3 linked regions of the Macaca mulatta genome follow. The protein of the gene in region 1 interacts with the protein of each later gene in a biochemical or structural test. Links are inferred from orthologs where the notes say so. Each region holds a gene or a part of one and is shown on either strand. Other genes may lie near its edges. The genes, in order: CDH1, CTNND1 and JUP.

Region 1 (3,644 bases):
CTCGCGCGCTCCGGACCCCGCAGTGATGGGAGTGGGGCGTGGGTGGTGAGGGGCGAGCGCGGCTTTGCTGCCCCTCCAGCGCAGACCGAGGCGGGGGCGTCTGGCTTCCGAGTCCGCGGGGTGGGCTTGGGCTGGCGCGGGGGTCGTGGAGCGGGGTGTGGGGGGTGGGGTGTGGAGAAGGGGAGCCCCGGTGCAAGTCGAGGGGGAGCCAGGAGTCGTGGGCACGATCCTCGAGGGAAGGAGAGGGGCATCCGTAGAAATAAAGGCACCTGCCATGCCAAGAAAGGTCGTAAATAGAAGTGGGAGTCCCGGGGATAAGAAAGTGGGGTCGAGGGAGGTGGGAGCGCCCCTCGCTCTAAGGAGTGGTGCATTCCCGGTCTAAGGAAAGTGGGGTTGGGGAGAATAAAGACATCTCCAATAAAATGAGAAAGGAGACCGAAAAGAACGATGGGCTAGGTCTCGAGGGGGTGACTCGGCGGCCCCCTTCCGGGAGTTCCTGGGGGCTTGGCGGCCGTAGGTTTCGGGGTGGGGGAGGGTGACGTCGCTGCCCGCCCTGCCCGAGGTTGGGGGCGGGGGTCCTCCCCCAATCCCGACGCCGGGAGCGAGGGAGGGGCGGCGTTGTTGGTTTCGGTGAGCTGGAGGGAACCCTCCGAGTCACCCGGTTCCATCTACCTTTTCCCCACCCCAGGTCTCGTCTTGGCTCTGCCAGGAGCCGGAGCCCTGCCACCCCGGCTTTGACGCCGAGAGCTACACGTTCACGGTGCCCCGGCGGCACCTGGAGAGAGGACGCGTCCTGGGCAGAGGTGAGGGCGCGCCGCCGGTGTCCCTGGGCGGAGTAGGGTGGGGTTGGAAAGGGGCCGAGAAATTGCACTCCCACACCCCTGGGTTGGAATGGGCAAGCTCTCTCCTTGGCTCAAACGACACCCCTTGGAATTTACACAGATTTGGGGATCCAAACGTTTACGACTGAGCACTGGTGGAGGGGGTAGCCCTGCCTGGTTGTTAACCATGTTATAAAAAAGCAGAGGTTGAGGGCACTTACTAGAAGCCTTCGTATTTCTCTTATTGCCCTCAGCACTGTAGAGACAGTGTCCCATTTCAGACTGCAAAAACCTGGTGGGTGGGAAGGCTCCGGCAGGAATATTCCCGTTTTACAGATGAGCAAACCGAGGCTGAGAGGGTGACGTCTACTTGCCCAGGGTCAGCAGAGCAGGTATCTGAACTGGGACCTGACTCCCAAGCCCCATTAAGCACCATCTCTGGGATGACTGAAGAGCAGCTCTCTCTTGGTTACTGGGCTGTGGCTTTTGTTTATAGATATTAAAGCTTTTTTTTTTTTTTTTTTTTTTTAAAAAAAAGGGTCTTGCTCTGTTTCCCAAGCTGGAGTGCAGTGGCACAATCACAGCTTACTGCAGCCTCCATCCTCTGGGCTCAAGTGATCCTTCCCACCTCAGTCTCCCTAGTAGCTGGTTATCACAGGCATGTGCCACCATACCTGGATAATTTTAACTTTTTTTTTTTTTGAAACGGAGTCTCGCTCTGTCGCCCAGGCTGGAGTGCAGTGGCCGGATCTCAGCTCACTGCAAACTCCGCCTCCCGGGTTTACGCCATTTTCCTGCCTCAGCCTCCCGAGTAGTTGGAACTACAGGCGCCCGCCACCTCGCCCGGCTAGTTTTTTGTAGTTTTTAGTAGAGACGGGGTTTCACCGTGTTAGCCAGGATGGTCTCGATCTCCTGACCTCGTGATCCGCACGTCTCGGCCTCCCAAAGTGCTGGGATTACAGGCTTGAGCCACTGCGCCCGGCCAATTTTAACATTTTTTTAAGGCTGGGCGCAGTGGCTCACACCTGTAATCCCAGCACTTTGGGAGGCCGAGGCGGGTGGATCACAAGGTTAGGAGTTCGAGACCAACCTGGCCAACATGATGAAACCCTGTCTCTACTAAAAAAAATACAAAAATTAGCTGGGCATGGTGGCGTGCACCTGTAATCCTAGCTACTCAGGAGGAGGCAGGAGAATTGCTTGAACCCAGGAGGTGGAGGTTGCAGTGAGCTGAGATAGTGCCACCGCACTCGAGCCTGGGTGACAGAGCAAGACTCTGTTCCAAAAAATAAACTAAAATAAATTTTTTTTAGAAACAGGAGTCTCTCCATGTTGCCCAGGCTGGTGTCGAACTCTTGGGCTCAAAGGATCCTTCTGTCTCAGCCTCCCAAAGTGCTGGGATTGCAGGCCTGAGACACTGTGCCTGAACCAAAATACCTTGTTACAGGTACTGTTTCCCCCAAGAAATAATGATTTTTTTTTTTTTGAGACAGAGTTTTAATCTTGTTGCCTAGGCTGGAGTGTTGTAATGGTGTGATCTCAGCTCACTGCCACCTCTGGCTCGCAGGGTCAAATGATTCTCCTGCCTCAGCCTCCTGAGTAGCTGGGATTACAGGTGCCCACCACCATGCCCAGCTAATTTTTTGTATTTTTAGTAGAGAAGGAGTTTCACCATGTTGGCCAGGCTGGTCTTGAACTCCTGACCTCAGGAGACCACCTGACTCAATTTCCCAAAGTGCTGGGATTACAGGCATAAGCCACCATGCCTGGCCAGGAATAATTATCTTTTTTTTAAAAAAAAGCATGGTAGTTCTGACTCAGGATGAAAATGCATACACCCAATGTACTTCTAGGCTTATCTTTGTGATAATCTAGAGTTTGCTTTGTTCCACTCCACTGTTGTCCAGGGAGCAAGGGAAGGGGCTAGTTTCTCTTCTGAATTCACTGAATCCCGAGTGCTTACTTTATATCAAACCACTTTCTCCTCTCTCATGATTTTAGTTGATTGGATATCACAATAAAAGGCATATTTTTTTTTAAGGAGAAATCACCCACAATTCCCCTGAGGGAACACCTCCATTGTGTCTATTCTTCTGGTCTTTGACCACATGAATCTTTAGCAATCATGCTGTTGTCTTTAAATTTTTTTTTGAACTTGGAAGTCATTCGAAGTTTTTTACAGAGAAACTACAGCTCGACTGATGAAGTATATTTGCTCTGTGTGCTCTAGAGCTTTCTATTGGATCAGAAGTTATCTAAAACTCCTGGGCTCAAGTGAGTCACCCACCTTGGCTTCCCAGAGTGCTGGGGATTGAATATTTTGATGTCAGTAGGCATTGAGGAGCGTTTTCTTGGGGGAGGCAAGCTTGATCTAGCCTTGGAGAGCAAGGCAGGGGCTAGAAACGAGCTTGTATCTGAGCGTGTGTCTGGCGTGGCCCAGTGCTAAGGCTGGTGATTTTGTTTTCCTGCACCAAGATACTTGGTAGCACCAAGGGTAGGTTGGTCTGGTTTTTATTTCTCCCTTCTAAGCTCCTGTGTCTGACCAATAATGTTATTACATATTAACACTAATATGATAATAATTAATAGTGACACATACTCACTTTTGCCTCAGACTCTGGGGCAAGTGCTTCACATATCTTACCTCATTTAGTCTTCACTAGAACATTAGGAGCGTGGGCAGTATTATTCTTCCTACTTTGTAAGTAAGGAAACTGAGGCATAAAGCAATTCTGTAATCTGATCCACAGTTGGTCTTTTCTCTTCCTTTTTCCCCTTGTTTTTCACCTCAATAACCTGAAAAAACAAAAACAAAAAAGGTGT
Region 2 (3,644 bases), on another chromosome or scaffold:
TAGAGATGGAGTCTGGCTCTGTCGCACAGGCTGGAGTACATTGGCATGATCTCGGCTCACTGCAACCTCTCCCTCCTGGGTTCAAGCGATTCTCCTGCTTCAGCCCCTGAGTAGCTGGGATTATAGGCACCTGCCACCATGCCCAGCTAGTTTTTGTATTTTAGTAGAGACAGGGTTTCACCATGTTGGCCAGGCTGGTTTTGAACTCCCGACCTCAGGTGATCCACCTGCTTCAGCCTCCTAAAGTGCTGGGATTACAGGTGTGAGTCACTGTGCCCAGCTTTTTTTTCTTTTTTTAAAAATCTGTCACCTATATATTTTAAAGCTGCTTAGCTGTCTTCCAAAATTGTACATTGTCTAAGTAGTAAGAATGATGATCCAAGTTTCAGTCACACACCAAATAGTGGCAGAAGCCAATAAGTCCATAGTTGGGCCTTCCATTAGCCTGAGGCTACAGGGATTTCAAGAAGCCTGGAGCGCTTAAGAGGCATCCTGAGAAGTTATGGATTGGGTTATGCATTTGAATATCAACATTTTAATACCTGAGTCATGGAAACCTGTGGAGAAATCACAACATTCTTTTTTCTCATTGGCCCTTTTATCTTGTGTACCTAAGCTTGTAGAAAACTGTGTTTGCCTCCTTCGGAACTTATCATATCAAGTTCACCGGGAGATCCCACAGGCAGAGCGTTACCAAGAGGCAGCTCCCAATGTTGCCAACAATACTGGGCCACATGCTGCCAGTTGCTTTGGGGCCAAGAAGGGCAAAGGTGAGTCTTGGTTCCTGTTTCTTACTCTTTAATGTGGGACAGGGAAAGGAAGGAACACTTTAGCTTAAGATACAAAATACTTGGCAAGCAATATGGGAGTCTGCCTGGTTACAGATGTCTTTTTGCTTTGCTGCTTCTCCTGTGTTGTGTGCTTCATTCAAGGTTTGGTGGTGGGGTGATGGTGGTGGTGTGTTGGTGGTGATGGTGGTGGTGGTGGTGGTATCAATGAGTGGGGCAGTGGAAAATGAGAACTCAACTAATCTGGGACCTTCTTCCCCATACGTCCTTTGCATTTTCTGTGTTTTTCTTTTCTTCTCTGTGCTTCCCTGCTTATTTGCCCATGATTCTGCTGACATCTTTCTCCTGCATTTTTCTTATTTCTTTTCTCTTCTCTGCTTTCTGCCTTGGGTGATGCACTGGAAGATGAGTGGTTCTCCAGAGGTGAGTGGAGTCTTTTAAGGTGCTTATCTACTTCTAATTTGCATGTTTTGGTTTTAGCTTCCCTAGTATGTCCTTGCCTAACCTTTCCCTGTCTATGCATGTAGGAAAGTTCAGTTGAGGAAGACACTGAAACAGGTTTAGCTCTTTGGAGCTAATAGCTCATGGCATGCTGTTTCTGGGCAGCAGTCCCCATTATCAGAGCTCAGGACAATAGCATCAACAATGGTCATCCTCATCTTACCTATCTGCTGCCTGTTTTCTATCCTTGTTTCTGAATAGTCCCCTGCTGGAACAAGTTGCCCCCACCTGCCCTTTGTCCCTCGTGGTGCATCTGTGATCAAAAGGTTCTGACCGAAGAATGAAAAATGTGCCAGGTGGAATCTTTTCTATTTTAAACTGACTTACCCCTTTTCCTGCCCTTTTTCGTTTTTATAGGGAAAAAACCCATAGAGGATCCAGCAAATGACACAGTGGATTTCCCTAAAAGAACGAGTCCAGCTCGGGGTAAGTTATCTTCTCAGTCTCCAAAGGTCTCATAAACATAGTACAAAGATAAGATATTTGGTAACTTAACAGCAGACTTTATGTAATATGTTTATTGTCCTCTCTTTTCCAACTTACAGACTGAAATGATTGTGAAAGTATTGGGAAGCTGTATAGTATTACAGCAGTAACTTACAAAGGACTACTTGTTAAGGCAGTTATTCAGGTTACTTGAGGATAGAATAAGGTCCTGATGGTAGTCTAGAGCAGAAATTTGGGAACCATAAATGACCACTACAGTGCCTGAGACTTAAACCTCACTTTTAAAAGAAGCTCCTTTACTAAGAAAGATACTTTTTAGGTTGGGGGCAGCAGCTCATGACTGTAATCCCAGCACTTTGTGAGGCTGAGGCGGGCAGGTCACCTGAGGTCAGGCGTTTGAGACCAGCCTGGCCAACATGGTGAAACCCTGTCCCTACTAAAAATGCAAAAATTAGCTGGGCATGGTGGCGGGTGCCTGTAATCCCAGATACTCTGGAGGCTGAGGCAGGAGAATCGCTTGAACCCGGGAGGCGGAGGTTGCAGTGAGTTGAGATCGCGCCACTGCACTCCAGCGTGGGCGACAGAGACTCGTCTCCAAAAGAAAAGAAAAGATAATTTTTACACTTTACTATAAGAAATTTGGATCTTTATATTCATCAATACAGTGAGTCCAAAGTTCACAGCTCTCCATGGATATAAAAATTATAAACGTTTAATCTGTAATGGACCGTCGTAGTAATTGCAAAGATGGGAAGAATGACTGGGTTAAGTTAGAAATAATTGATTTGAGATGAGGAATTTTTAACCTTGAGTGCTGTCAATGAGCTAAATGGAGCCCCTGAGCGCTCATGGTAGAACCAAAGGCAAAGCTATGGGAGAGGAGGCAAGAAGGAAGGAAAGAGAGGAGTTGAGTATAATGAGTTGATATTTGTTCCAATCTTACCATGGATTCATTAGTCTTTTTTTTTTTTTTTGAGACGGAGTCTCACTCTGGCTGGAGTGCAGTGGCGTGAACTCGGCTCACTGCAAGCTCCGCCTCCCAGGTTCACGCCATTCTCCTGCTCTTAGCCTCCCGAGTAGCTGGGACTATAGGCGCCCGCCATCACGCCCAGCTAATTTTTTGTATTTTTAGTAGAGACGGGGTTTCACCGTGTTAGCTAGGATGGTCTCAATCTCCTGACCTCGTGATCTGCCCGCCTTGGCCTCCTAAGTGCTGGGATTACAGGTGTTGAGCCACTGCGCCTGGCCTCATTATTCTTAAGACATGGAATTTGGCCTCTAAATTTGCTGTAGAGAGTGTGAGAGAGTTTAGGGAACCTGATGGTATAGAACATCAATCGGGAGTATTAAGGCTGAACTCCAGCCAGCTAGAGCCTGGTTTATTGGTACTGATTAGCACCTTCTGCCTTCTTTTTCTCTTTTGTGCAGGCTATGAGCTCTTATTTCAGCCAGAGGTGGTTCGGATATACATCTCACTTCTTAAGGAGAGCAAGACTCCTGCCATCTTAGAAGCCTCAGCTGGAGCTATCCAGAATTTGTGTGCTGGGCGCTGGACGGTAAAGTACCTTTTAGAAAATGGATTTGGAGATGGGAAAACTTAGATAACTAGTTTGCTGCCATTTGTAATTTGTTCTACCCCTTTCTATGTGCTATTCTAGTATGGTCGATATATCCGCTCTGCTCTGCGTCAAGAGAAGGCTCTTTCTGCCATAGCTGACCTCCTGACTAATGAACATGAACGGGTGGTGAAAGCTGCGTCTGGAGCACTGAGAAACCTGGCTGTGGATGCTCGCAACAAAGAATTAATTGGTGAGGAGTTGAATGCTAACTATTACCTCAAAATTTAGTACAGTGTTTGTAGTCCAGCAGATGCCTATAATTTATTGAATTTATTGAAATGACTGAAGG
Region 3 (4,366 bases), on another chromosome or scaffold:
AGTGCTGGGATTACAGGCATAAGCCACCACACCTGGCCGAGAAGTTCTTTCTGATCTCTACCCCAGGCTCTCCTATCGTGGAGGGATGTGCTACCCAGTTTCTTTTTTTCTTTTTCTTTTTGTTTGAGATGGAGTCTCACTCTGTCACGCTGAGGCCGGAGTGCAGTGACATGATCTCAGCTCACTGCAACCTCCGCCTCCCGGGCTCAAGCAATTCTCCTGCCTCAGTCTCCCAAGCAGCTGGGATTATAGTTGCCCGCCACCACGCCCAGCTAATTTTTTGTATTTTTAGTAGATATGGAGTTTCACCATATTGGCCAGGCTGGTGTTGATCTCCCGACCTCAGGTTATCCACCCACCTTGGCCTGCCCCGTTTCTTTCATGCCTGGGTTTCTTTCAGATCTGCTGCTTGATGTTTCCAAACCCATCAAAGCCTCCTGACACCAATACTGTATTTTTGTGCCAATTAATTGTTCTGTCTCTCCTCCCAGTGTTTGTGCCTTTTCTCTGCCCCTTCCCCCATTGCCTTGACATTTTATGTCTATGCATTTTATGTTCCATGAAGGGAACAGCTGGTTCGATGGTCCTTCAAATGAGAAGGAGGTTCTAGCTTGGGGTGTGCCACTTTGTAGTTTTGTGACTTATCTGAACCTCGGTTTCTTCATCTTTACAATGAGGGTCGTTTTCTCATCTTAACTATTTTTTCAGAGCTGTCACAATAATTAAAACAAAAATACCATTAATTTAAATTCTAACCTTTAGCAGTTTCCGAGTGCTTTCACAAACCTGACTTCATTTAATCCCCACATACTCCAGTGAGGTAGATACGGCTAATGTATCCAGTTTACAGATGAGGAGAAACAGGGTGAAGTAACTTGTCTAAGATCATACTAAGTGGGAGAACACAAACCCTGGCCTTCTAATTCTAAATCCCAGGAGTACTCCATCTTTGGGGGGAAAAAATCCCAACCCAGCACAAAGCCTATGAAATGCTATACAAATATGTGATTACTACTTTGGGGCAAGGATGAATAAGCCCAAAGAAGCATCATGCTTGACGCTGAGTTGGCTGGCCGGTGAAGGCGTCTGTCCCTTCCCTTAGTATCCCCTGACTTACCTGTTGGACAGGTAGGGGGAAGGGGAGAGTAATGAGTCTCACCTGCTCAGAGCAAGGGTGGGGCAAGACACACCCCATCCCTTCCATTGGTTTTTTCCTTAGTCTTACTGACAGCCCCTTGTCCAATCAGGAGGAAGTAACTTTCTATCTGCCAATAGGTGCAGTGTTAGGATGAGACCTCAAGTTAGAGTCCATCCCTAGAGCCGACTGGCAGTCCCTGGGGCCAATGGCAAGCGGATAAACAGAGGCGGCCGTGGAAGAGGACTGGAGGTGAGGCTCCGCCCCTCGACGGGACAGTCAGGCGAGACAGCCAGTGAGCTCGCACCAGAGGGTGGGCGTCACCCCCAGGGGCGGAGCTTCGAGGTGGCGAGGGGCGTGGCTTGGCTGTCAGGTCTCTTTGCCTTTTGTTCGGTTACTGAGTTGCTGCCTTGGCCAGAGTCCGGAGCAGCCGCCGCCCGACCACGCCGAGCTCAGTTAGCTGCCTGCGCCGGCTCCCACCCCGGCCCGACCCCGACCCGGCCCGGCCAGGCCCCATACTAAGGTGCGGGCGATTGGGAGCAGGTATCGCTGGGGAGAGAAGGGGTGGCGAGCGCCCGCGAGGCCGGTCCCTGCCGTCTCTGGGCAGGTGAGGGCGGGTGCCATGGAGCGCCACCCTGCACCGGCGGCAGGGGGCGCGCTGGGGTCCTGGGCGCGGCGACCTGGGGGTCGCGCGGTTTGGGCAGAGCGCGCCTGGGAGCTCCGCGAGCCAGAGATCTGAGCAGGGCGGGAGGGATCCGGACAGGTGCCTCCGGAGTCGTGCCTCCCCCGGGGCCCGCGCCCCTCGCCCGACGCCGCGTCCCTGACTCTCGCCCTGAGCTGGTGGGGGAGACTTTGCCCTGCTTTGACTGCGTCCCAGGGCTCACGCTGCAGTCAGGAATTTACCGTTTGGGAAACTTGCTGTCGCTGGTCTCTGGGGCCACTCTCACCCCACCCCACGCGTCATCCTCGCTTTCCCTCCCTCCCTACTCCCCCAGGCCTGGGTGGGGCCCTATTGTCTGCGCCCAGCTTGCCCAACTGTGGGGGCCGAGCACACATTTTCCTAGCGACGCTGGCCCCACCTGCCGAGCAGGTGAGCGCACGGAGTCCAGAGGCCCTGCCCTCCAACTCCCAGAGCCTCGTCCATACTACCTGCGGCGCCTCCCTCCACTCCGGTGGGAGCCGGGCTCTGGCTTCTTCAGCGGAGGTGGGATGGAGTGACAGTGGTGGGTGCAGGGCTCGACCCAGTGTCCAGCTGGTGTGTCTGGCATCCGTGGCTCGCCCTGGAGTCTGGGGGGTGGGGTCTGTGCACGGATGAAGAATTCAGGGTCACCTGGCCCAGTTTCCAGTAGCTGTGGTTGCTAGAGTGTTGGTAGGGGAACAGGACCCGTCTTCTTCTCTAACCTCTTATTGTTGGAAAAATCACCCAAAACAAACTTTGCAGGAGGAAGTATTCACAGCAGCTTGATCTGGGGGTTTTCCTGTCTCCTTGCCCAAAACTTCCTTTAGGCTTAGGGGGTCCTTCTTGGTGCAAAGCCCCTTCCCCTAGCCGGCCCCTGGCTGAACCTGGGCGGGTGCCTGCGCTCCGACCCTGTCTTCCCTGCCCCCACCTTCATCCTCTTCGCTGGGCCCCAGGGGCCTGAGGTGGGGGCCGGGGTGGGGGGTGGAAAGTGCTGAGAGGGGAAGCAGCTTCTTCCTTCTCTTCCTGCCTCCGGGGACCACCACACCCCCTCAGACGAGGCCTGCGTAAGCGGCTCTCTCTCTCAAGCTCTGCCCCCTCCCCAGGAATGGGGGTGGGGCAGGGCTGGGCCAAACTGAGGAAGGTGGGGGGAGTGGTTGTTCTTGTCTTTTTTTTTTTCTCTACCCCATCCCCCACATTACTTAGCTGGCTGGTAATTGAGGCAAAAGAGCATGAGGCTGTGGGACTTGCCTTCCATTTGATTTCTGAATTATGAAGGTGCATGCTTTCTGGAGGCCTGCACAGACCTTTCCCACCCCCTTTCCTGAAAGAATTTGACAGGGAAAGTGAGACCGGAGGAAGGCTTTTTGGGGGAAGGTTTCTTCAGTGCTAGACTCCCTCAGGCAGAGCTGCATCGGGCCCCTGCCTTCCCTGCTCCCAATTTCCTGAGACCCCCCCTACCCTCCCGAATTGGGAATCTTGACCAGGCTTTCTACCCCGGTTTAAAAAACAATCTGAAGTGTGGTCTTTTTGCAGGATTTGGAGCCCAGCCTCCTTGGGGAACAGAGAGAGAATACCACAGTTGGGTTCTCTCTCAGTCCTGGGGGTGGGAGAAAGATTGCGGGGAGCGGGGATGGAGAGTGCTTGGAGGGGGAGAGTCTACCACCTCTTTCTTTGTTGTAGATGGGGGAGTGAGGCTGGGGGCCCAGACTCAGCCCCTTTATCCTGGGTGGGGATCACGCTCAGCCCGGGGCTAGGGGGAAGTCAGTGTGGGAACTCAGATCCTTTTCTGCTGGAGGAGGGGGGCGGTGCACCTCTGGGGAGCAACAGGAGCACGGAGTTTGGGCAAAAATAACCTGCTTTCCCTCTTCTCCCTGCCAAGGTGGAGGAGGGGAGGGCATTGTAATTATGTTGGCTAAATGATTAGTTTAGCTAATCTGGTTTGTGGCTGTGATGAAAAGATAATACTGAGGAAGTACTACTAGGAGGTGCCTGGTGAAAACTGGCCACTGACTGGACTGGGGGACGCGGAGGAGGAGAAGGTAGGACCCAATTAGTCATTTCTTGCTAGATCAAGCCCCAGCTTGGGTGATTTGAGCCCTCCCACCCCCACTCCACCCCTCCCTTGCACCCTGGCTCCACTCCATTCCCTCTGGAACCTCTGGGCTGCCAGGGCTGAGGCTTTGAGAATGCAGTGTATAGGAACGAAAAAGGTCGGGCTAGGGCTGCCAACCTTCTTCCCTTCCTGGAGCCACCTTAGAATGAGATCGGTCAATTGACTAGTCTACAGAAGGACTGTTTATTTGGAGAGATGGGACAGTGGGGCAGTTCTGAGCACAGGGCTTTGGGCTTGAACTGAGCTGGGTTTGAGAACCAGCTCTGTCTCTCATTACATTGCCTGAGTCTCAGTGACTTCTTTGGCAAAATGGGAATACAACACCTATCTACCCGGTAAGTACTTGACAAATGGTAACTCAAGATCAAGGTCAGACTTTACAGAAACCAAGCACTTTCTTTTTCTTTTTGTTTTTTTTTGAGGTGGAGTCTCGCTCTGT

The links.
Region 2: the proteins of CDH1 (region 1) and CTNND1 form a complex in vitro, tested with the Homo sapiens proteins (5 studies listed by BioGRID and IntAct, with this or other methods). The link is inferred for Macaca mulatta from reciprocal best matches to the Homo sapiens genes CDH1 and CTNND1.
Region 3: the proteins of CDH1 (region 1) and JUP form a complex in vitro, tested with the Homo sapiens proteins (2 studies listed by BioGRID). The link is inferred for Macaca mulatta from reciprocal best matches to the Homo sapiens genes CDH1 and JUP.

What each region holds. Positions count from the first base shown.
Region 1 is NC_133425.1:64,334,067-64,337,710, forward strand, and holds part of CDH1 (cadherin-1), read left to right. Parts: intron 1-688; coding exon 689-803; intron 804-3,644.
Region 2 is NC_133419.1:15,586,415-15,590,058, reverse strand, and holds part of CTNND1 (catenin delta-1), read left to right. Parts: intron 1-616; coding exon 617-770; intron 771-1,646; coding exon 1,647-1,715; intron 1,716-3,164; coding exon 3,165-3,292; intron 3,293-3,394; coding exon 3,395-3,545; intron 3,546-3,644. UniProt on the Homo sapiens protein: Key regulator of cell-cell adhesion that associates with and regulates the cell adhesion properties of both C-, E- and N-cadherins, being critical for their surface stability.
Region 3 is NC_133421.1:66,113,943-66,118,308, reverse strand, and holds the start of JUP (junction plakoglobin), read left to right. Parts: upstream 1-1,555; 5' UTR 1,556-1,658; exon of another isoform or gene 1,659-4,320; intron 4,321-4,366. UniProt on the Homo sapiens protein: Common junctional plaque protein. The membrane-associated plaques are architectural elements in an important strategic position to influence the arrangement and function of both the cytoskeleton and the cells within the tissue.